Linked DNA regions of Drosophila melanogaster. The protein of the gene in region 1 interacts with the protein of each later gene in a pairwise test. Each region holds a gene or a part of one and is shown in the gene's direction. Other genes may lie near its edges.

Region 1 (10,708 bases):
TTAATTAAGAAACAATCACAATAGTAAATGGATTAATAAAACAAATACCAGAGCTCTCATGAAGTAATTGTGTGTATTTATTCAACAAGCTCTCAAGCTTGTTAATTTTGATTTTTTGTTTGTTTCTGGTATAACCAGTTCAGTCAGGATTTAGAATCCTGATTCATATGGTCAATAATATTATTGTGTATAAAATATTAACTTTTTTGCAGTGTGGTCTAGTCCAGCGTTGACTGTGTGCTGAAGACATAATGGGACGATGATTGGACGTCGAGGCTGCTGTTGGAGGAGCAGGAGCTCATTGATGGCGCCCGCGTGGATCGGGCAGAGGAGGCGGAAGACGATCCGCTGGAGGAGGAGGAACTGACCCAGGCGTGGCCACTGCGCCTTCGCCGCTGGCGCACCAGGCTCAAAACCGATCCGGCCACTGGAGTGGAGCCAGAGCTGGCCGACACTTGGCGCCGGATGGCAGCATTCAAGGCGATAGGAACGGGTTCCGGAGCAGGCGCCGTGTTCGGCCGTTGTGCAGTCGTCTCGGAGCCAGACTCCAGATCACTTGATGCCGGGGATGTGGCCTCCTCCATCTCCACCGGAGCAGGTTCACCGTTCAACACCCGTCCATCCAACAGTTGCAACGTGGGCACACTGCGCGCCAGGAGCGAGCGGTAGAGCGGTAAACGACACACGGGATTGCCCTGCAACTCCACCTCCTGCAGCTGCGGGCACATTCCCAAGAAGGAGAGCAGGCCCAGCTCACTGATCCGGTTGTTCCTTGCCTTGAGAACGCGCAGGTGGACCAGTTCGGCCAGCGGATCAACCCGCTGGATCATGTTTCCATCGGCGATGAGCACACGGATGGCCGGCAGTCCACTGGTGCCGTCGAAGCTATTCAGGCCGCAGTTGCTGATGTCCAACCGGGTTAGCTGGAGGAGTCCATAGCCCAGGTCGCGCAGGGAGCTCAGCACACTGCCACTCAGGTCGAGGGATTGGAGGCGCGGCAGGAAGAGCGACAGGCGGGACAGGCTGACTGTGTAAGAGATCACGCGCAGACGCACTTGCTCCACCGCCTCCAGATCCGTGCGTTGCGTCACTCGGCGCTAAGCAAACAATATTTTAATACCACTTCATCACTTTTAATTCGTCACAAGGTTAACGTGCACCCACCAGTAGCTCGTCCAGTGTCGGTTCCGGGCCCTGTTGGGGTAGCACCACGGGCAGCAGGTGGACGAAGGCCGGAAGGTGCTGTTCCTCCTCGGCAATGGCCACATCCCGATCGAAGGAGTTCCGGCGACCCAGTTGGCGGCGGTTGAACTGCATCCGCTGCTGCTGCTGCTGTGCGGGATTCTGCTGATTGAGCCGCACCTCGGGCGGAGGCATCCGGACCTGGGCCAAGGCGGCCGGTCCTGGCGGTGCCAGAAGGATGGGCAGTTCCGCCTGAAGCGATTGATCCGGAGAGGACTCCAGGTAGTCCGCAGGTGCCTCCAGCAGTGGCATTATTAATATTTCTTAGTGCAACACCTACATATGTCTTCAGTGTTCTGCTGTATTTTGTCTGTCCATATTGACCTAACAACCCAAGCGTATCCACTGGCAACGCTACTTGGTGGCATTGTCACTTTCCATTTTTGTTGTTCATTAGATCACTATTTAACGCTTACCGGCTGAATATTATAAACTATAATAATTTTCATTAATGAGAGCAAGACATTATTCTGTTCACATAACAAGCAATCAAACAAGTCTTTATCTTTTTAATTAGCTAGTTTATATTGTTAACTTATAGTCAACATGTTTATGGTCCTAAGAAGTATGCAATAAACTTCCACCATTTTACCTTACTAATAGATCATTGAATGTACATATGTAATAATTCTGTCACATAATTTGTGTGCCCCATTTTTATTAAAAACCATTTTGGTTAAATTTAATTGTTTACTAGAAGACTTACAATTCAATAACGTCTAGCTTTAATCAATGGACCTTAAATATTCTTTGTGCATGTACTGTGTGAATAAACTTCTTATTTGGCCACGCTATTTCAGTATAAATTTAACGAAAGGACTTAGTTTTATATCGATCTGCCATTTTGCAGCATTCCGTCGCCCTCATTCATTCCGCCGCAACAGCGTTTTCTTTTTGGCAATACGCCCACTGACGTCAGTGTGACGTCATGGTCGTGACGTTCGCACTCAAACTCTTTACCACCGAGGTTTTTTACATTCCTCTTTCTGTCAAACTCGCTCGCTCTCTCTCTCTCTTCCAGGATGTCTGTCTGGCTTGGGAGAGCGGTGAGAGTTTCGCGGTTATTTCTGTTCAGAGGCGAATGAACAGGATAACAATTAATTATCAGTTCTAGACATTTATGTGTAAAATAGTCACAAAATTTAATAACGCAAAATATTGATTTTCAATCATTTTGTTTTCTGCATATTATGTTATATGGATATATATTCTGGATCCGCCCGCATCACAGACTTTTGCCATTTCAAGGGCCTTTAGCTAACGCCAACGCCATAAGGATTCTTTGTCTGTCCCGCTCTCTCTCTCCCTCTCTCCCTCTCTGTTTTCTCAGTTTTACTATAATCCAATTTTCCTGACGCCTGTCAAGCTTTTGCCGGCTTTTGTCAATTTATTTTGGTAAGAGGGAGGTGGTTGGCTCCTAAGGGAGGCACTGTTGTTGTTTTGGTTTTGGATTGAGCTTTTTCCATTGACGTCATCAGAGGCGAAAGCTGCGCAGTGAGCTGACATCGTACCACGCATTTATCGATTGCACAGAGGAGAAAGTGCGAAAGAGAGAGGTAGAACGAGAGAAAGAGAGATGGAGAAAGTGATGGTGATTGTGGTGGAGTGAGAAGAGACGCGTGGGCGAAATCGGTTTTTGCAGAATATGACGTAGTAGAAGGGGAAAAAGACAGGCAAAATAGGAATTTAAAAATGTATAAAATTCCATTTACTAATTATTTCCATACATTGTCTTAAAATCCCGCCCAATAAACAGCAAAGTTTCTCACAGTGAAGCACAGCTGCTTTTTAAGTGTGAGTTCAGGTGTTGTCAATAAAATCCCATCATCAGCTCGCACATTTTTATAGATGCCTAAAAATAGAATTTGTCAATAATACCAACAAACCCAAGCACAAGCAACACACATAGACAGACACACACTATTACACAAATGGCTGCAATGTGTGGGTGCACAGGCACGCACTGTTGACGTCATTGTCCTTAAAGCTCTAGCGCTCTCTCTCTCTCTCGAACGGTTACTACGCTACAGCTACATTGAAACGTGTTCGCTCTCAATGGCGTTCCGAAAATACCGTTCGCTTCTCATTGACGTCTACGTTGACGTCGGCGTGGGCGTCACTGTTACAGTTAACAGTGCGCCAGGATTAACATAGGTTGGAGACTGCGCTTAAGCATTTGACACTGCCGGTCAAAAGTCGAATATGTAAAATTTTAGATATTAATGTTTTGAAGGGCGAGGAAATTCGTAGACATCAAATGTTAAGAACCAAAATCGATTTAATTTTAAACGTGTCTGGAAGATTGTTATATCGAGCCTGTCAACCGGTATTTAAAGCAAAACAATGAATGTTGTATAGTATTTACAAATTTTTATCATGTGCTTAAACCGTGGTGTATTGTATGCTTTATCGACGTAAGTTGAGAAAGTAACAGTATATTTTGTCCCCGTTAACAGAGGCAGAGCAGTCGGCGTCAGAGGGTAATGTTGGCTTTAAAGTTGGGAGAGCTGCGTCTATTTAAGCCCCTCGCAATGACAAATTCGTTGTTATTGCAGAACAGAGTCTCGAACGCGGTGCTTTGGTTTCGGTTCCGTTCGCCTCGTGAATATTTTTTTAAGGAATATAAGAACAATGCACGGATAACGCAGTAATCGAGTAAAAATCGAACGCAGTACCGTAACAAAGAGATTGATCTATCCGATAAGTGATCAGTTATTCGGTCGCCAATGATATCCGTATGTGCAGAGTGCGCTGAAGTGGAGCCTTGAGGAAATGCCACCAGCTCGCAGCTGAGCTGCATTCGCTGATTGTCGTTGTGGTCGTGTCCTCTCGCGGTTGTGTGTGTGTGTGTGTGGGTGTGCACTGTGTTATTTGGGTCAAAAGCTGCAGCAGCACAAAGTTCCCACTCCCATTCCCGTTTCCGTGCCCGTTCCCAGGGGGTGTCCACCTGTTATGCAGCTGGCCTAGTGGCTCAACTCGGCTCGGATCGGATCTAGCATCCCACAAGTCCAAATGGAGGCAAAGGTGCACCGCCAGCATCAACGGCATCGTCGCACGGAGGCGCGACAGCGGCGCCTGGAACGGGAGGCGGTGGCTACGGGAGCGGCAGCTCCAACGCCCACCACGCCCGAGCGGGCAGAGGCCTTGGACTGTGCCACAGCCCTCAACGAGGGCGTGGTATCCGCGGATCCGGGCGGCAGCGGCGGTACGCCAAGCAGTGCGGGTCGCATCAGTGCCCAGAGCTCGGCGGACAGCATAGAGCTGGTGGGTTCGCCCAGCCAGACGTCGCAGCAAACGGTGGTGCTGGTCAACGGCCACGCCCCGCCGGGCCAGGAGGAGGGGGAGGAGGAGTCGCCACTGGGCGCAGGCAATACCAGGGACTCACCGCCGCCGCCCAAGCAGAGCGATGGCAGTCGCAACTCATCCGGCGATGCGATGAGTCTGCGGGAGACCCTGCAGCAACTACCGGCCACCCATCACCATCGGTCCAGGCGAACTCACTCACCTGCTGATCCCGATGCGTCCTTTCATCGCGGAATACTTGGGTACATGGACCGGGAGCTCAAGCAGAGCTCTCCCACGCCCTCCGCCCCCGCCGGAACCGGAAACGGAACTGGAAACGGAACTAGCACGGGCGCATCGAGAAAACAGCAGTCCCTCTCCGACCCACAGGCCAGTCCCGCCCAGCGATCCCTGCGTTCGAGGAGCAGCTTCGACAAGAGTCCGCGGCGCAAAAGGAGCAAGTCGGAGTCTCGGCGGAGACGCGAACGGAAGCTAATAGCCGCCGGAGAGATGGAGGTCCGGCAGGCCAACGAAACCCTGATGCGGTACCTCAAGCAGTGCTCCGACATGCACGACGCCTCGCTTTCCGGCGAACTCGAGATCGACCAGAGCCTCGAGGAGAGACGCGTCCACCGGAAGACCAAGTCGCAAAGGGACAAGCGGGGCCAGCTAATCTGTGAGTATATTTTGACTTTTCGCACTTCAGCCATCTCTAATAACTTACTTAATGTAAGAAATTAAACAAGTTATTTGATGATGATGATAGATTAACATGAATTAGTTTGTGTTTTGCGACCAAAAATGTATAAAAATATGAATTCATGTTCGTATTGCGCTTGGGGTTTCATTGAAAATACTAATGATGTTAATATACTGGCTTATTTAAAGCAATACAAGTTAAATGCTAGTTTTGAAACTCTTCAGGTGAATTAATATTTAAATTGATATATTTTTGCTTGCGCTTGAATTTAGTTTGTTTAAAAGTAATTGGGAATTCAAAATAGTACCCAATCCCAACGATAAGTTCCGCAAAACGACCTGACTGATATTTTTTGGGTAGACCCTGTGTCACCCACTTCCGGATCTCAGTTTCCATTCAGTAAAACCATTTGCAGCAAAAGCTCCACCCATCCACCCATCCACCCATCCACCCATCCACCTGCACATCCACCCACCACTTTCTCGATTCTGCGCACTGGCTCGTTTGATACCATGATACCATGCCGTCTTAGACGAGCTTGTTTGATTATTCTTTAAATAAACTAAGTAAAACTTGATACACCGATTATTTCACAAACAATTACAATTTATTTGATTCATTTTCTGTTTATAACAAACTTATAACAAATGGTTCTCATAAGAAGCTGAGAATGGAAAAACAAAGTAACAAACAATAGCCGAATGGAATCCCTCTTTCTCCCACAGCCAAGTTGTACTCAGCAGGCGGTATATCCTCGATTCTGAAGGAGCTGGCCGATGACATAGCTCCGGCCGATGGCGAGGAGATCTACAACCCATTCACGCCGGTCGTCTCGCCCACGGACGATGCGCCCGCGCACATCGACAAGATGTTCCTGCAGACGTCATCCGGATATCGACCCGTGGAGCACAGCTACTACAAGCGCTCCTTCCTGGGGGCGGCTGTTCGTGGATCCGCCGGAATTTCGGCATCCGGCGGCGGAGGTGGATGTGCAGGCGGTGGCGGAGGTCGCCTCGATGGCATCTCGGCCGCGGAGCTTGGAGGCGCCGGTCGCCTCTTCCGCTCCAGCGGCAGCCACGCCCACGGCGGCGACAGAATGGGCGGAAATGGAAGTGGGCGTGGCAGCTACGGTGATACCCGCTGTTTGCTGGATGCCGACTTTAATCGGTGAGTTGCGGAAAATAGAAATGATACCTCAGACGTCAGTTATGCATATGAAACTGTCCAAATCTAAGGTTATCACAAAACTTTTCCTAATATTCTGCTGAAAATACTCATTTAAATTATTTGTTTTTAACTATTTGAGAATTTAAATATATTTAAACATTCGCACAATAGTGTAGTGTAGATGCCAGTGATGTCACTCTAATCCAGCAATTTATTTAATTTTACTAGCAATGGTATCACCAGCAACATACAACTAGCCTGTGTAGTTCAACGAATCTGGCTGCTCATCTCGAACATATGCCACGGCTTGCTAGCCGGTCTAGCTCTGGCCCATCTACTCTTCGTGCTGAGCAGCCACCCCATGGACTGGGCCAAGGTTATCAATGGCATGAGTCTTGCGGGCGAGACGGTGTCATCAACGGCCCAACCCCCAGCCGCATCGACACCATCGGCGATAGACATCGATTCCGGCGATCGGGGAACGGAGTCGGGCGAATCCTCATCCCCATCCGCAGCAGCATCCGGACTGGCCCTGATAAGTGACTACGCCGGATTTGCGGAGATCTACTTAAATACCTTCTACTGCTTGGCCATAATCTGTCTGGTTTCCGTTTTCGATCGGTGAGTTTGGGTGTAATGGATTGGATCTTGGTGAAAAATAAGAAATGAATTCTATAAAGCATAAGTATAGATTACACACCTTTAAGCTAGCTTAGCTCTTTAGGCGATGGATTTTACAATTTTCTAGTCACTTAGTCAATTTCAATTGCGTCCTTTGGGCTTTCGATGTCCTTTGACTTGATTAAAAGCCAATTTGGCCTACCACGCAACCTTCGTCAACGAGCGGCTAAAAATAGGTGGCCAAGAAGGGAATGCTCAGTGGCAGCGATGGAGTTTCGCCACCAGAACTCATTGACCTCAGTTGGCGAAGGATTCGCTGAGAGTTTCATTGAGCTGGAAGTCAGCTGAAGGAAGTGGGTAGTTAGCCCTCGCACCTCCGGTTCTACATACTTCCTTCATTTTTCTTTGTCTAGACACGAGGATATCGTTCCACACTGATAGATAATAGTGTGCGTGGAACTGATGGTGTGGTGGTGGCGATGGTGTGACCTCAATTTGGGTACTTGTTCGGCTTCGTGCTCTCATAGAAATACAAATTTGCGGCGCTCGCATTGCGTGGCCGCTTTCATCAGCCACAAAATATTTTAATGCCCTTAAACTTTGCTCTTTTTGCATGCCAAAGTCGCTGCCCACACACAAGCAAACCACCCTGGCTGCACTCTTGACCTTTAAAGGCTGCGCCAGTCGATGGCACAAGTGTGTGGGTGGTTTTGAATGGCTTGGGTGGTCGGGTGGTTGAGTGGTTGGGTTTTAGGTGGTCCAAAGGAACTGTCTGACGTTGTTTGCCCATTCGAATTGTGCCATTTTCGGCTGCCTGGATGGAAGTGTGAAACTGTGTATGACATTTCGCTTCGTTATCCCAGCGCCATTTGATTTATGCGCTGCTGTGGCTGGGCTAAATGTTAAGTATCTCCAGGCAGTGGAAGTGGAGTCTGTGTCCTGACCTTTGCCCCTCTGACAAACGGAGTGCTACTGTTAAATGTCAGGTCATGCAGGAATCTGTAGGAAGTGCACACCATACGCAGCTGAACTTTCAGGCAATATCCATGATTTTGTTCATGAATAAGTTATTTCCAGTGTGCGTATCTAAGAGCGCCCACTTGATATGGTAATAGCCTAGAGGAAAATAAAATAGATTTTTTTAGTTATTGACTAAAAATCTTTCAAATTTCAAATTTGTAGGATGGACATCTGTCGCTGGAGCTTCTCGAATGCCAGCGAACTGATCTCGTTTCGGTGGCTCATCATCACCATGATCTATGTGGCGACAATAATCCTAGCCATCTGCTCCGATTCCATCGACGAGAAGCTGTACCTGTTCAACAACAATGCCAACATAACGCTGACGCAACAGGAGATGGTAAGTGCAAGGATCGTGGTGATAAGTCTGAGTTCCATATTCAATTTACTCCATTTCGAGCAGCTGAGCAACAGTGTGCAGAGCGTGTGGAGCAGCCTGTCGGTGACGAGGAGCATTGCCGCCATATCCGGGTGGATTATGATCGGACTGACGCCGCAGGAGGATATGCTATATGAGCACCTGGTGGACCTCACCAAATATCAGTTGACAAATAATTGAATTTAAGGCGACAAGTGTAAATATCGAACTCTTAGCAGCTGTTGTTCAGTTATCGGCTTTTTATATGTACGGCATAATCGAAACGCAATAGAACTCTTATGCATACCCAAATCTTAAGCTTTAAAGTCGTCTCTTAAGGATTCACACTGATGCCCTTCGCTGGCCGCTAGAACAAACCCAAGGGGGAACCGATAATATGACAACCAGAGAACTCAATGGTTAACCTTGAAACTAGTTAACTAAGCAAATATAGTGAATACTCGTACTGTTAAAGAGGAAAGAATATGAAATACCTATATTTACCAGATAGCAGATAGATGTATTCATGTACTTACGCATATATACAATATGTTACCTACATAGATATACACATAATTGATATACATTACAAACGCGAGTATAGAAATATTTACAATTATTGAAATCATTTTACTCACACATATCGTCTTAAGATACAGAATCTTTTGGTTTTTTTTAAATCGTTGCGGCACTTTTACGGCAAAGGCTTCCCAAATTAGATCCTCAGTCGATTAGGATCGCCTAGATTAAGTATAATTTTAGCGAATGTGTTTTGTACAATATTTGCATCCCGCAAACGTAGAAGTGTATATTAGTTATTTACATTGTTCAATTCAAGTTTTAGGTAATGCCTCTTGGTTACATTCTTGATTTTGCAGTTAGTAAAACATTTGTTACACCTTCTTTCCTTTAGATGCGTTTACGTGGCAGTTTAAGCTTCTACCTGAGCTGTATATAAACCGAGTGCAATAAAATAACGAATATTAAAGTTTAATTATACACTAACCAATATACAGAGGCAAATGTAATAAAAACATATAGACAAACGAATCGATCAAAGCGGATGACAAGGAAATCTCATTGTAAACTTGTATATAAAAAATATAAACGCAAATAAACAAAAATAATGTATAAAGGCAAGAAAGAATACTTGAGTTTTTTTTTAAAGGTTGGGCGAAGTTTAATTATCCTTTTTTCATAACTTTTATTTTTATGATCAACATTGCCATGTGGGTACTCCCACTATATTAATTTTTTCAAAGGATTTTTAGGGTCAATTCAACTATGCAAACGAGATGCATAAGTGGGCGCGTTTGATCTTATTTTTTCAGAATGCAAACTTTCTTTTTGAGTGGAAGATAAGTATTTAAACGAATCATGAAATCTCACATCGTATCATCACATCATTGAAAACTCGATAAGAATTCCTCAATTTATTACAGTAGAACAGCGATTCAGATTCCTAAGTGACATATGCAGAACGTATGAAAATAAAATAAATAGTAAATAGATCAGTGAAATCAAATCAAAAAAATTGACAATTTGTGAGAGGAACGAATAGATTTATATAGAATTATTCCAACTCACTCAACCGACTCAAGCATTGACAGGAAATTGGAATATAATCCCACAAAGTTTCCTGAAATCCTGCAAATTCAACATTTGGCCAACTTATCGCTAATATTTGGTAAACGTAAAATAAATCATAATTATACATGATGTAATGTAGGATGTCAATGGTTGTGAAACAAGCTTAATGATATTGTTATCTGCTAGATGGCGCCATCAAATGAATGTAGAATGTAAGCTATTATATCTTGTGTCGTGTATAGGCACTTAATTTCATAAAACCAACAATTTATTTATGGACAGATAATCGGAGAAGGTGTATATTTTGAATTTAGCTACGAATGGTCTTAAAATGGTACTTCAATTTGATACCAAGATATTTTTATATCCGCTACCAATTAGCCAATTGTTTTATTAATTGTAAATGCAAGTTAAGATAATGAAAGCGAAATTGTTTATCCACTCAATTGTTAGGAAAATTTTGTACACATGAGATTTTTGTACAAAAAAGATTCGAATCTTTACTCTCTCGCCAAGAGAAGCAAATAAAATATTTAATGGGTCGCTAAATGACTTCAAAGCGAAAACAAAGCTGTTAAAATGAGCGCAACCCATTTGAGCCACGTCAATTCGCAGGACGCACCCTTTCAAAATTCCAAATTTAAATGTTTCACTTCATTTAAAATATTCTTTGTTGCTGCCTTCATGCATTGCAAAATGTGATCTTTGTCATGTAAATGTTTTGCGTA
Region 2 (6,293 bases), on another chromosome or scaffold:
ACCTTGCCCCCGTGCCATGCAGCGCTCCAGCTCCCAGCTACGGATCCGCCGGCGCCTACTCCTCCCCGGTGGCCACCTACGTCGCCCCCAACTACGGCGTGCCCCAGCACCAGCAGCAGCTGTACAGCGCCTACGTGCCCCAGACCTATGGCTACCAGTACTAAGCACCTGCTCCGACTGCGACTGCGATCATCGCCCAAGGACCACGAACCGACTGCCGAGAAACATAAGCTTTGATGGATTTGACAAAAAATATACCCAAAAATATGTACTGCAATTAAATCACTAAAAAAAAGCTAAATCATGAATTGTTCTTACTAAGGGTATAACTATTGTAGTTTCTAGCAACCAATAGAAGAAGACCAAGCCTAGATTATCATTCCAAGATAATGTTGGTAATAACAAAATCATATTATTATTCTACCAGGCTGTTGTTTGATAAAAGATATATATTCTGATATAACTTTATATATATTAAAAGTCCCAAGTATAACATTTTCTTTAAACATTCCCAAAATGAAGCATTTAAGTATATTTGCTGCACTGTCTTTTTATCATCTTACTAGATAATTGACGACAAAATTTATTTTAGTAACCTAATCAACGTTTATCATTGAAGTAAACCCAATGTTTTTATTCTCCAAGTTAACTTATATAACTTGTACTAAAATAATTTATTTTATAACCATTTTATAACCACCATAAAACCATTTTAAAATCGTTAGCTATTAAATTCCTGAAAAAGGAAATGTAGTTTCGGCTACTGCCTCCAGCTTTTCCCAATCCGATTAAATCTACATCCGCCAGATACAGGTGATTGTAACTAAGCAAACTTTCAGTTTTTAACCTTTGTGCCAAGCAGCTCGTTGTGGGTCACTGAACTGCAGGAAATGCTGGTACCAAACAAAATAGTTATTAAATTGTACATAAATGTATATTTTAGCTAGAAGAAATGCTTGCGACACATCCGAATCAGCGACAAAGCGGAAAATTGAAAAGTGAAAAGTGCAAGCGATTGGGTAATGCGATATCGGATCCCATCATCAATCGCTTGACTGGTCGGTCAGCCTACAAGCCGGAAAGCAGCAGTGGCTACAATGTGCTGACCTTCGGGTTTCAGGTGCTCGTAGGGTTTCCGAGCCCAGCCAAGTAGTGACTTGGGCCCTCCCAGCGGATTAACCCCTTCTAGCCAATGGCCCATTTTCTCGAACTTCCAACTTCGCCCCAATTCTGATCCCACTCGCCCTCTGGAATGTGCGACCAAGTGACCCACTTGTTGGGTGTTACCTTGGCCATCTCCGTTTCCGCTTCGTTGTGCACTTCTGGTGGCATGAGGTTATAAAAGCCACTTGAACAACGCCGCATCTCGGCTTTCTCAGCTTGCAACGCCACCATATCAAGTCAGCATGTGGAAGTATCTCGGATTCTTTGCCCTTTTGGCCGGAGCGAGTTCTCTGGGTCAGCAGGCTGGTTTGGAAGCCTCGACCTGTGGAGGAAGTACAGGGTGCTTAAGGAGCCTGCCATCGAGATCATCAGCTGTCGAGCCCTCGGATGCGTATCTGAACCGTAGGAGGAGGCAACAGCAAATCGTACAGGAGGTAATCGTGGAGAACAACTTTGGTGGTCCCGGGTTTGGTGGACCTGGTTTTGGAGGACCTGGTTTTGGAGGTCCTGGCTTCGGAGGTCCGGGCTTCGGAGGCCCTGGCTTTGGACGTCCCGGCTTTGGAGGTCCCGGTTTCGGAGGTCCCGGCTTCGGAGGTCCTGGTTTTGGACGTGGCAAATTTGGCTTCGCTCGCAGCTACGACCAGGATGAGGCCCAGGTACCGGTTCAGGGAACATACCAACAACAAACCACACTCAGTGAAGTTCCTTCTCCAGCTTGCCCAAAGAACTATGTGTTCTCCTGCGAAGCGGTTATCAAGCCGGTTCCATGTGGGTACAGCTCATATTGATGAACTAGCTGATTTTTAATAAAGTGAAAATTTTAAACAATATTTTAATCTTTTTAATATTTATTATTTATTTAAGACTTCTGTTTGGCACTATTAAATATATAAACAGGATTAGTTTTAGACCAAAATTGGGAGCAACTTTTTGTGCCGCTTTAATCATTGCTAAGACGATAAATAACAAGATATATCTAAAGTGTTCTAGAATTTCAAAATTGCTTACAGCCCATTACTCGTTTTGCATATACGAATTTGTTCTTTTTAAAAAAAGGTGTACTAGTAAAACACAAAACCTTAAATTTGTTGCATCATATCGGTAATAATTATATTTATTTCAGAGAGCTGAAACTTTTTTAATAGCTTGTAGAAAAGCAATAAAACCCTTGATACCCCTTCAATAAAATATCTTAAATGTTTTTTATGAAAGCATTACTTTATTCTTAGGTTCAGATGTCAAGTCAGATTCGTTTCGATCCTTAAAGTTCGCGGACGAAGGGCACGGCGTACTGGGGCACGTACTGGGAGTAGGCACCGGCGGATCCGTAGGACTGAGCTGGGGCGGAGCAGGGCACGGGCTGCAGGGAGGGCTGGCAGCTGAACAGGTAGTTCTTGGGGCACGGCGGCGACGGAATGGAGGCGGGTGCGGAGTAAGCTGGTGCGGCTGGGGCAGAGTAAGCTGGGGCAGCGGGAGCAGAGTAGGCAGGAGCAGCGGGTGCGGAGTAGGCGGGAGCAGCGGGTGCGGAGTAGGCTGGGGCAGCGGGAGCAGAGTAGGCCTGGGCAGCGGGAGCGGCTGGGGCGGAGTACGATGGGGCGGCTGGGGCAGCGCCGTATCCTCCGTAGGCGGCACGCGACACACGGATGTTCTCGGCCAGCGGGGCGGGGATGAGGATGCCCTGAGTGGGCTGCAGCTGGATGGTCTCCGAGGACACGGCGGACAAGGCCACGAGGCCGGCGATGAGGAGGTGACCAAAGTTGAATGCCATTGCGGATGGTTCTTGAGCTGTCTCTACTTGCTGCTGAAGTGACGAACGAAGGCTGACTGTTGATTGTAGCCTCCCAGCCAATCCACTTTATAGCCCACTCGGAAAACGCTGATCGCACTGACGGAGTAGAACGACAGCGTTCCGAAAAAAATGCAAATGGAAGCACCCCGGCTCGAAATCTGCTGACCACCTGCAACCGGCAGTCGACTTTGGAGGAGGGTATTGGGTGCCGGGTTTTGGCCAAACAGCTCTCTTCACAAATGGCTAAGACGATGACGTTCTGGTTTCTGGTCTTGGCTCTGGTGACCTTAAATCCAACCTGGCCATTCTGGCGCACAGGGGCTGCCGAAGTCACTTCCGCATCGATGTTCCAGTTTCTGGACCGCCACAATGGTGAAGGCGACCACAGTTGGTCTCACCTACTGCCCACAAACTTCTACTCCGAGATGAACCAGCAGTACTACAGGAGATTCCGGCGACAGGCTGGCAGAATGGACACCTTCCGATCGGGAAAACGGCAGCAGTACCCTTTTGAATATGCTCGATATGTCTGATAATAAAAGCAACCCAGAATAATATATAGTTTTCTGACTCCAATTTGTAACCTGGTCTTTAAAAATACGTACCCATTTCTGTTCCCGCCAATGCCTTCCACACGTTTTCAAAGTTTCACCAGTTCTCCATGGAAATCTGTCTATCGATAAGGGGATAGTACAAATCCACAGCGCATGACCGCAGTGGTAGCTTTGACGTCACCAGGACGAAGGACACAACAAACCCCCGCACAGTCAGCACGCAACAAATTGACCGAAAACAAGCGCTTGACATTTGGACACCGCCATGAAGCTAACACTGCGACGCTACTCCTGGGTGCTCCTGTTCCAGTTCGCCCTTTTGGGAGTGGACCTCTTTTGCAACGCCTTTGGTCCTTCGCTGGCCAGAAACCGATTGCAGACAGCCATAATTCTCTTTGTGTGAGTATCTTAGGGAATGGAGAAGATATCCTTTCTGAACACAGCACGTTACCACAGCACTCAGGATGCCCTGATTATCGCGGAGTACCTGCTGTTCACCCTCGCCCTGCACTCGACGTGTGTGTACCAGGTCGGCGCCTCGCACATAATCCTGCGGAATTGCAAGCTCTTCATGGCCAGCATTACCATCTACTTCCTTCTGTCCGCCTCCCAGCACTTTTGGATCATCTACCAATACCGTCAGCCGCCAGAAGAGGACGGTCATCATTGGCCACTGGGTCTGATTGCCCTATCAGTGGCACAGCGCATCAGTGAGTTCCGGAAATATTCATTCCACACTTATCCTAATATCTTCCTCTTTCCCGCAGTGTCGGTTTTCTATTACTACAGCTCCAAGTCGACGGCTCTGACCATGGCAGATCCTCGCTTCAAGGAGGAGCATCTTGACTGGATCGCAGATCAGCTGGGCGATAAGTAAGACACCTGGTTAAGTGGACTCTTCGATGAGTGAGTCAGCATAAGAAGTGTACTGTATATAGATAATTAATAGAAATAGATAATAGTTTATAAAGACATCCGATTTAAAACAGAAATGAAAAACCTCTATGCCGAAATTATCAAGTAGATAGCACTAACAGATAAGTCGAAAATAAATCCGACCGAGTTTAAATGCATATAACATTTATAACTCACGTGTGAATATTATTTAATTAGCAAACAAAATTCCTTGACAATATTGTAGTTCTTTTGTTTCCAATAATATTATTCATGTGTAAATAGAAGCAAATATGTAATATCAACTTACTGATACCAACTATAATTCATCTAACAACAAATAAAACAATTTAGACGATTTAATTCTGTAATATATGAATATATTGCAAGGACTTCAAAAAATAATAACCTCTATATTTATAAATATTTACATTTAAATCGTGGTACAGCACCATTTCTTATTGATTGAAAGCTCTAGCCTAAGTTAATAAAACTAATCTGACATTAAATAACATAGTCAATTAAGATCAACAATTTTAAACTTTGCACAATAATTGGTACAGGCTATATTCAATTTTCTAGTGTAATTCGCTCCTCACGTTCCAGAGAGACTGAATGGCACTCCAAATAGCTGCTCCCATCCCTTTCCGATGACATTCAGGCAACATGCGGCATTGGCATGCGTTTCGAACTGCAACTTCCATATCTCGCACCTGTTTTGCGTCTCATCAATAAAGTTGATCGCATACTTTTGGTCTGTAATGCGCTCCACGTCGACCAAATTGCTCAGTGGTTGATTAAGGCTAAGTTCTGGTTGAATGGGCTTTTCCTGAACTTTATCTGACAGCCACGAGAATTTGCCATTTCCTGAGATGTACAAATGTGTCTCCGTGATTAGGAGCAGGGAGGGTTCAAAGGAGCTCTTCTCCTGGTCACAGATCCATTGGCAGCTGGGAATCAGGGAGCACATCTTGACTGGTTCGGACGCAATAGTTTCCCACTGATGGCTGAGTGTGACAGATGGTTGATGATTCAGCTTGCACTGCTCAGGCAGAGGAATTTCTGTTAAAAAATATAATAAGTATTAGGAAAAAAGCAACATGCAAAAAGTTAACTCACGTTGTAAATAATTCAGTAAACTTTCCGTCCTCAGCATGTCATGCAACAGCAGGACAAATCCTCCCCAATCCTTTAAGGTGAAGGACAAGCCAAGTTTCCAGGGCAACAGATCAATGGCCACCAAACGATTGACTGCCACGCTGACGACCTGCCTCAGCCATTTGGCCACATCGTCATGGGGTTCTGCAAAGGCCTCCATTAGATAGCACTTGCAGTTGGACATTACCACAAGCCCTTCTCCCAAGGATTGGGTCTGCTCATTGTAGATGCGACCTTTGGCCAACCACTTGAAATGCTCGCCATCCTCTTTGAACTTTCGTTGGTAGAAGTAGAGCTTCAGACGGTGATCGATATCATTAAAGTCGCTGTAGTTAAACTTGTACGGCTGGGTACCAAAAACAGTTGCCTCCGACTCGATCAACTTCTTTGAGCTGGACATGAGCAGATTGGTTGATTGAAATACAGATGCGAAAGGCAGCAGGCTGGCATCCTCGGCGCTTTTCAAACGGCTATTAGATTCCGCATCCGAACCACTAACTTGGCTGTTTGACGACTCGGTGAGCAGGGAATTTTGTAGATTTTGTGGCGCATCAGTGGCCTGCTGCTCGTAGGTAGTACATATGCTGTCCGTTACGGATCCCGACGAGCTGCTCTCTGTCAGCGGTACATGGGATGGGACAGCCGATTTTGCAGGAGCCAAGGGAGCTGCAGTCGAAGGTGTCGTAGGCTGAGCCTGCTCCGCCAGAAGCTGACCAAACTCGCGTTCGATGAAG
Region 3 (7,977 bases), on another chromosome or scaffold:
ACCTCCAGAGCCAAGGACTACGTCCAGGAACTTCGAACTCTCAAACTGATGACGGATACTTTCAAACCGTATGTGGACGACTGGCGACTAATGGGAGCGGACATTTCAGCTGGAAGCAGTGCTGATGAGACCAAGAGATACGTAGATATGTCCAAGGATCTGAATACGGCATTTGGATGGACGCAGTAAGTAGTGAGATTGGAAGTGAATGTATTTATGAACATTATAGAAGTAGCATCTTACCTTTTAATAATTATTTTGTTCCAACTGTAGACCCGCAAACATGCTGCCCAAATCAAGCCTGGGAAGCTACTTGTACGACAGCGATCCTGCCCTGCGAACCCTTCAGCAACAGCGCGTTCCCTTGTGGCTGACCTTGCCGGAGGAGCGATCCTCGCAGAGATTGGTGGGCGACGAGACCACGGATGCCTTGCGGTGGGCCCAAACTATGGGAGATGCCGCCGCTAGTGGATTCGATGTTATATTTAAGCGAATGAACTTGGTGGACTTCGAGCGACCAAACTTCAGTCTGTATGTAACTGCTTTGTTCAAGAAGGTCATGGGATCAAGGGTGTTCCCAGCCCGACCTCTGAACGCCTTTGCTCCGAGCAACAAGTTGTATACCCATTGTGCAAATGCCGTATCCGGAGGATTGGCATTCATGGTGGTAAATACGGAGGAGCAGCCAACAACGATTACTGTGAAGAGTACCAGTAGTTTGAGCAGTAGCGAGATTTGGCAGTATGTACTGACTGGCCATGATCAAAGGGTCCAGCTGAATAATGTCCGCTTGCACTTGAACACCACTTTGCGTCCCCTGATCAAACCCATTGATCCAACAAAGCCACTGCAACTGATCACGCCCAGCATGGCGGTGAGTTTCTGGGTGCTGCCCGATGTCAATCTGGAACACTGCCAGTTCACGGAGATCGAGGCAGGCGATTCGAGTGGGGAGTCCTCCAAGGAGAAGCGCCGATCATTCCGCTATAGTTCCGCCGATCGGTTACTCCAACGATTGATCGAGGAAACTGCAGTTGCCCGAGGCTCGGTTCAGAGTTCTATTAATCGCAATCGGAGATTTGTCGTTGATAAGGAGGAAACGTCACAGACCCTACTAGATCGACTACTGGACCATTTCAAGGATGACGGTCCGCTGAAGAGGGATGTGGGTGATGAAGTGAACAAGTCCAAAGAACAGGCTATTAAGCCTCATAAAGCTCTGGCCTGGCTGTATCAAGTGCTCGAGCACACCCGTGACATGGGCAAAAAGCGGGAGAGACGCGACACATCCAGCTATTCCGGGCCCTTCTTCTACAATCGCCAGGGTAAGAAGACAGCATTGACGAAGAAGATTACTGAGATCCGGAAGCCGGAAAAGAAGAATAAGCCCCTTTTCGACTTCGATGAATTCGATGAGGAGAAGTTCTTCAAGCGCATTGGAGAGAAATCCGAGGAAATACCCACTTACACACGGCTTCCAGAGGGTGATGTCCACCTGAAGCACATTGAGACTGTGGATGGGGAGGTGGAAAACGAAGAGGAACTTGAGCGGGAGGTACCCAAAAAGCGCAGGACCAAGTCCAAGAGTCAGCTAAAGATCATTCAAAGGGAGGACAAAGAGGATGAACAGGAGCAGGAACCGGAGCAAACAGAAGGGCGTCCCAAGTTGCGTCTACTGCCCACGGAATTCTTTGAGGCCCTACCAGCTCCCAAGCAGAACAAGCGATTAAATCTGGGAGCCACCTTGAACTCACTGCTATTTCCGGAACCCTTCTCCAGCAAGGCCACCATGGCCAAGGCTAGTCTGTCCCAAAAACCCAAGTCTGTTGAAGAGTCCGAGCCCGAGGAGGATGTGCAACCGGTGCCAAGTGCTAGAAGGCGTCACTCCAGGCTAGGTCACGTGGCCAACGACTTTTTGCAGGCCCAAAAAGAGCTTGGAAAGCATTTCCTCAGCCACATCAACGAGCATGAACACGAGTTTTCTCTAGGAGATGAGGGCATGCGGGAAAGTTCCCTGGAGTCGGCGAATGTCGGTAGGAAGTCCCTCATACAGGATCATTTTGAGGGAAAGAAGGCAACGCCTACTCTTCATTCGAAATTGCCTCAAAAGCCAGCCGATGAGGGTATCACTTCCTGGTGGGATTTACCAGCTATGAGAAGGCGGCGTGCCGTACTTAACACTAATTCCCTGGCTGAACTGCCCTCCAATGCCATAGACAAGGCAGATCGCGATGAGATGATGCCGCTGGGAAGGTACACCTACTACGAGTACAAGATGGATCACGAGGCAGAGAAGGATGCCAGCCAGCCCAGGGAGGAAAAGGAATCCAAGATCATGAGGATCAGCAGCAAGAATTCGCTGGCCTCTGGTCGTAGTCTGACTAAACTCTCCGAAAGCCTCGTGAGCACTATGAAATCAAAGGTATCTCGCTTCATCAACATCATATCCAACCATATGAACGAATGGTACAACACCTTAACCAAGCACTTGGAAACGGATGCGGAAACCCAACCACCCCGCCGACAAAACAGCATTGAGAAGTAGAATGACTTATATTACCATATGACCTTGTTTAAACTGCCAGCATTATAACCGAATGTAAATATATATTTATTTTCAAACATTACTGCATTCAAAGGAATTATATTTGAGCGATAATTCTAAGGGAATTATATTTTTCAAATAAAGCTATATACAGGACTAAGGCAACGAACTAGACGGGCTTAGACTAAGCTTGTGGTAGATTGTTGAGCATTCTTTATTGTACTTGTGAATATGTCATCTCTATAATAAAATGCATTGAATTGAAAAGAATGTTGATATATTTCAGTGGTATCTCGGTTAATGATATATGAAATGAAAAATAAAATAGATTTTTATCTGACATGTTTATACAATTACCCGTAGTACTTCAAATAGTAATAAAGTCTTGGTCATTAAAAAAGTTAATTACTATCCATTATTATTTTCTACATTATTTCAAGCTCATCATTCGAGCTGCATAACTAGAAAAGAAGCTTTGCGAAGCCCCCGACAGGTGGCTTTCTAGACACACTTTCTTGGAATCCACTACCCAGATCTTTCTCTTACCGCTGGTAACTATGTATTATAGTTTGGCTCCACTCTGTGCTCGCTCTTTCGCTGCGAGTGAACCGTTCATGAAGACGATCCCAAAGAGGAGCCCGGAAAGCCGCTTGGCTAACCTGTTACCATGGCTATAAGTGCAATAACAAAATCACCGCGACCACGGCAATACCAAACCGGTGGAGACGATCGCGCATTCTCCGCAGCCTCGGCTTTATAATCGGAATTCCGACTTCAGTCTCCGATTAGTCGTTCAAGGCGAAGGTTGTGGCACTAGCTCTTGGATCCACCAATTCCATTTCGCAGCGCAGATATAGTCCAAAGTGCAGGTCAGCAGAAGTTGGAATAAATTATAGATCAGCCAACAGCCAAAACAGGTGAGTTTGCACTAAAAAACTCGTCTCCGACTGGCAAAAGTTGAGGAACAAAACCCAAAAACGGGTCACTTCTAGACTTTTTCATACATCTATAGATCTTGTTTCTTTTCGAGACTGCATTGTAGGGCGTGGTTCGGTTGGGGGGGTTCTTAAATGGTGCATGCAAGCGTAACCAGAGCCAGTCTTCGAGTCTTGAGGAAAGCTCTTGGAAATCTTTGTGACGTGGACGGTGGGGGAAAAAAAAAACAAACAGAGAAGAAAAAACCAGAAACTCAAAACGACATGAAACTTCAGACTTTCTTTCTTGTTCAACCTTCTTTCGTTTGGGCTGTCAATGAACTTGGTTGAATGTTATTTTTTTCGGCGTTTCATCATAATAAGCCATAATTACGCACATGTGTGAAAGTGAAAGTGTAAGTTTTCTCAACAGTTTTCGAAATTGATTTATTGACAGTCACTGATAAACGATTTGAATTGTGAAAACCTTCGCCGACTAACCAATATCCCCAAAACCATGAAACCCCAAAACCCAAAACCAAACTCGTTTCGTTATGCCCTAAGACAATCGTCTGGCTTTGGCAGCTTCGGTTATTATATAATCTGATTTGCATGTTGACACCGATATATACGTATATGAAGATACAATATATAGTATACACACCTCGGCATATTTGTAGGATGGGTTTCATCTTCGGTTGGCTGTCGACCGAGCACTATGTGCGCGACATCTTCCTCATGACTTCAGTGGCCGCCATAGTGGCCACCCTGATGAGCATTCGGTTCTATCTGCGCATCACGGCGGGACGATGTTTCACCGAGGTAACGAACGCACCTCACCCAATCCAAAAAACCAAGTCCCATGCTCCCCAGAATCGCGACACGACTCGAATATTTCGCACTTTATATGGCTGTTGCTCCCACTTCCGCTGCGAATTCTTTTCAGATCTTGTAGATGAGCTGTCATATACATACAAATGATGGTGGGATAGTTTACTAAAACAGTATTCGGACACGACCTTAAGCTTATTAATCGCTCAAAACTTTTACAAATTTTATATATTCATATAAATGCGAACTATTCAGATAAACATTACAGATCCATAATTGAAAATGGTTCAGCTTACCGCTCTATAGAAAACTACATATATCACTATCTGGAAAAACCCCATATAATTAAAACGATTCTGTAGCATTCCAAGCATTCCGACTATGGAAATCTTTTAACTATATATGAAATCACCACTAGGAAAACTTAACGTGTTTCAATCTTGTTATTACATTGGTCAGTTGTGACGCGTCGACTTAATTACAGATTAAATTAGATACCTTCTGAGAGGCGAGGTACGTCACATCTCTGAGCTACGATTACCACCTGACCGAACATTGTTCGTATCCCACAAAACATCTAAGCTTCTGGGTATCTCGGTTACAATCTGTGAGATCGCTTACCTCTGATTCACAGAAAGCTCTCAGCACTCGAATGGCAATTAAGCGACCCGTTAATGGGTCTGAAAACTAAGATAGCTTCCGTTCCAGACGAACTGCGATTACTGTGACTGTGAACAAGCGCCAACTAATTAGTATTGTAAACATATTTTCGAACCGCCCTCGTCCAATTTTCGATTGCAGCGCCGTATTAAATGATTAACCTTCGACATTGATTACAGACAAAGATGGAGGGCAAGACAGTCATTATCACAGGCGCCAACAGCGGAATTGGCAAGGAGACGGCCAAGGATCTGGCTGGACGTGGAGCCCGCATCATCATGGCCTGCAGGAACCTGGAGACTGCCAATGCAGTGAAGGGTAAGTGGACCAAGACAATGCCTATGAGGTTATGCCAAGGATCTGGCAGGACATGCAACACGGTCAAATTCCGATAACTGGTCTCATCCAGTTGATTATAGACTCTGGCAAAAACTGCTTACTACCAATGATCTTTTTTTATTAAATATTTACGTTGTAATTACTTTAAAGAAAGTATCTTATAATATGTTGGCGTTGCATTAACCATGTTTTTTTTTACATAACCGAATTTTGTAATTTATTGTTGATTTCCCACAGATGAGATCGTCAAGGAGACGAAGAACAACAAGATCCTAGTCAAGAAACTGGATCTGGGCTCCCAGAAGTCCGTCCGTGAGTTCGCCGCTGACATTGTGAAGACCGAGCCCAAGATCGATGTGCTTATCCACAATGCCGGCATGGCTCTGGCCTTCCGCGGACAGACGAGTGAGGATGGCGTGGAGCTGACCATGGCCACCAATCACTATGGACCCTTCCTGCTGACGCATCTGCTCATCGATGTACTAAAGAAGAGCGCGCCGGCTCGCATAGTCATCGTAGCCTCGGAGCTGTACCGCCTGTCGTCGGTTAACCTGGCCAAGCTCAATCCCATCGGCACTTTCCCGGCTGCCTACTTATACTATGTGTCCAAGTTTGCGAACATCTACTTTGCCCGGGAGCTGGCCAAGCGGCTGGAGGGCACCAAGGTTACAGTGAATTTCCTGCATCCCGGCATGATCGACTCGGGCATTTGGCGTAACGTTCCCTTCCCCCTCAACTTGCCCATGATGGCCATCACCAAGGGATTCTTCAAGACCACCAAGGCCGGCGCCCAGACCACTATCTATTTGGCCACATCCAATGAGGTGGCCAATGTGTCTGGAAAGTACTTCATGGACTGCAAGGAGGCCACCCTTAATGCTGCTGCCCTCGATGAGGAGAAGGGTCTCAAGATCTGGGAGGAGTCCGTGAAGATTGTCAAGCTTACGCCCCAGGATCCCAAAATCTAGACGGGTGTCTGCGGCTGAGAGCCAACGCACAATTTACTGATTTACTTTTCTTGTTTTTAAGGGGGAGTTTACTGTAGCCTAAGTTTTCTCAATAAAAATGATTTTGTATAATTAAATGTGGCTCGTTTTCAATATGATATATTTGCTGTCAGAAAAAAAAGCACATCAAATTTCTGACTATATATAATATATTACAAAGATCTTGGTTGTTATATCGGTTGCTCGTGAGTAAAAGGGTATACTAGAATCAAGACTAGAATATAGTCTGGATCAAGATCAATAGCCGAGTCGATCTGGCCATGTTCCTCTGTCCGTCTGAATGTCGAGATCTCAGGAACTTTAAAAGCTAGAAGGTTGTGATGCAGCATACAGATTCTAGATACATAGACACAGCGCATTCACACTAACTGAGCAACGGGTATCTGTTAGTCGGGGAACTCGACTTCTTATTGGCACAGGATTTCGGCTTGGATTTGCAAGGGGACCGTTTTTGTATTACATGTAATATATATTGACAGTCACTCGATAAATCTTTTGCTAGGTAACTAGATATGACAATTCTGACAAGTTTTGAACTTTTCAACTTATTGCTTCTCGTTATTTATTTTGTAGCTGCAGCTTCTTAGTCAAATGATCTTTAAAAAAGTTCTTCTAGGTATTGAGATATGTTAAAAAAAAAATATAAACCAATTTGCTCTATAAGACATTTTACTAAAAGTAATGAGCGTCCATTCATCCCTCTCCTAATACACATATATTTCAGAAAGAATTATGCAACTACTGGTTACATTTTACCCGTTACTCGTAGAGTAAAATTGTAAAAATATGTAACATAAAGTTGATATATTCTAGATCAGGATCATCCGTATCCGAACGTCGAGATCTTAGTACCTCAATTTTTATTGGTCTTGTGAATTGCTTTCGTTTTGTCACGCCCATGATTACTTTTTTTCTTATTTAATATTAATTACAAATAAGCAAACCTGGTTCACCCTAAAAATTAACAGCCTCTGTAAGCTATAACAGGAGTTACTGTTAAAAGCTGATGTAATAATAATTTTATGTATGGTCTAGAAATTAACTGAATCCTGGAATAATTGTTTTAATTCAACTGATATCCATCCTGGATACTCCGTTTCAAATTAATTTCATGAGAATGCTCGAGAACGACAAATCACAGCGCCAATCGGGTGAGGCAAGGTAACCCGATACAAATGGAGAGGGGAGCAGAATCGGGGAAAGGCCGAAAAATTCTCACACAAAGTTTCGTTGGACTCGCTCACCTGTTGAGGAGGACCAAGGGGGTGGATGGCGGGAGGACTCCCGGGGGACTCCGTCGACATGTATAATCTGATAAAATTGCAGTCGCATCCTTTGCGGGCTGTCACCACGCCTGTTTCTGCAGAAACGGAGGGTTGCGGTTGTTCGCTTTTGCGTAGATTGCTATCAGCTCCTCGACGGCACGTGACTTGCCCAATGATGATGATAGTGCCGATCGGTGGCTAATAATATGTTAAATGGCGTAATTGAAATTTAATATTTATCCAAAGGATTACAGGATAATCATTTGCGGCTCACCAAAATGGCATTAAAGATAGCGAAGCGTGCGGCACCGCAGATAATTGAAGGACCAAACGCCCCTTAATTCGCTACTGTGAGAAACCAATAGATCATCGATCGGAACTTTTCACAGGATTTGTTTGCGGAGGTGATGCCCCAA

What was found.
Region 2: the proteins of CG14186 (region 1) and CG13999 interact in a two-hybrid assay, tested with the Drosophila melanogaster proteins (one large-scale study listed by BioGRID).
Region 3: the proteins of CG14186 (region 1) and CG7675 interact in a two-hybrid assay, tested with the Drosophila melanogaster proteins (one large-scale study listed by BioGRID).

Annotation. Positions count from the first base shown.
Region 1 is NT_037436.4:20,096,907-20,107,614, reverse strand, and holds CG14186 (uncharacterized protein), read left to right. Parts: upstream 1-3,787; 5' UTR 3,788-4,254; coding exon 4,255-5,200; intron 5,201-5,949; coding exon 5,950-6,391; intron 6,392-6,619; coding exon 6,620-7,012; intron 7,013-8,194; coding exon 8,195-8,372; intron 8,373-8,435; coding exon 8,436-8,591; 3' UTR 8,592-9,531; downstream 9,532-10,708. Other genes in the region: CG14185 (uncharacterized protein), read right to left, coding at 219-1,097, 1,165-1,494.
Region 2 is NT_033779.5:5,953,705-5,959,997, reverse strand, and holds CG13999 (uncharacterized protein), read left to right. Parts: upstream 1-3,531; 5' UTR 3,532-3,772; coding exon 3,773-3,906; intron 3,907-3,963; coding exon 3,964-4,217; intron 4,218-4,274; coding exon 4,275-4,384; 3' UTR 4,385-4,686; downstream 4,687-6,293. Other genes in the region: Vm26Aa (vitelline membrane 26Aa), read left to right, coding at 1-164; Vm26Ac (vitelline membrane 26Aac), read left to right, coding at 1,407-1,952; Vm26Ab (vitelline membrane 26Ab), read right to left, coding at 2,426-2,932; CG13998 (uncharacterized protein), read left to right, coding at 3,193-3,486; CG9044 (uncharacterized protein), read right to left, coding at 4,997-5,463, 5,521-6,293.
Region 3 is NT_033777.3:18,376,517-18,384,493, reverse strand, and holds CG7675 (uncharacterized protein), read left to right. Parts: upstream 1-3,315; 5' UTR 3,316-3,462; intron 3,463-3,757; exon of another isoform or gene 3,758-3,875; intron 3,876-4,139; 5' UTR 4,140-4,140; coding exon 4,141-4,281; intron 4,282-5,129; coding exon 5,130-5,268; intron 5,269-5,526; coding exon 5,527-6,257; 3' UTR 6,258-6,370; downstream 6,371-7,977. Other genes in the region: CG14309 (uncharacterized protein), read left to right, coding at 1-185, 274-2,545.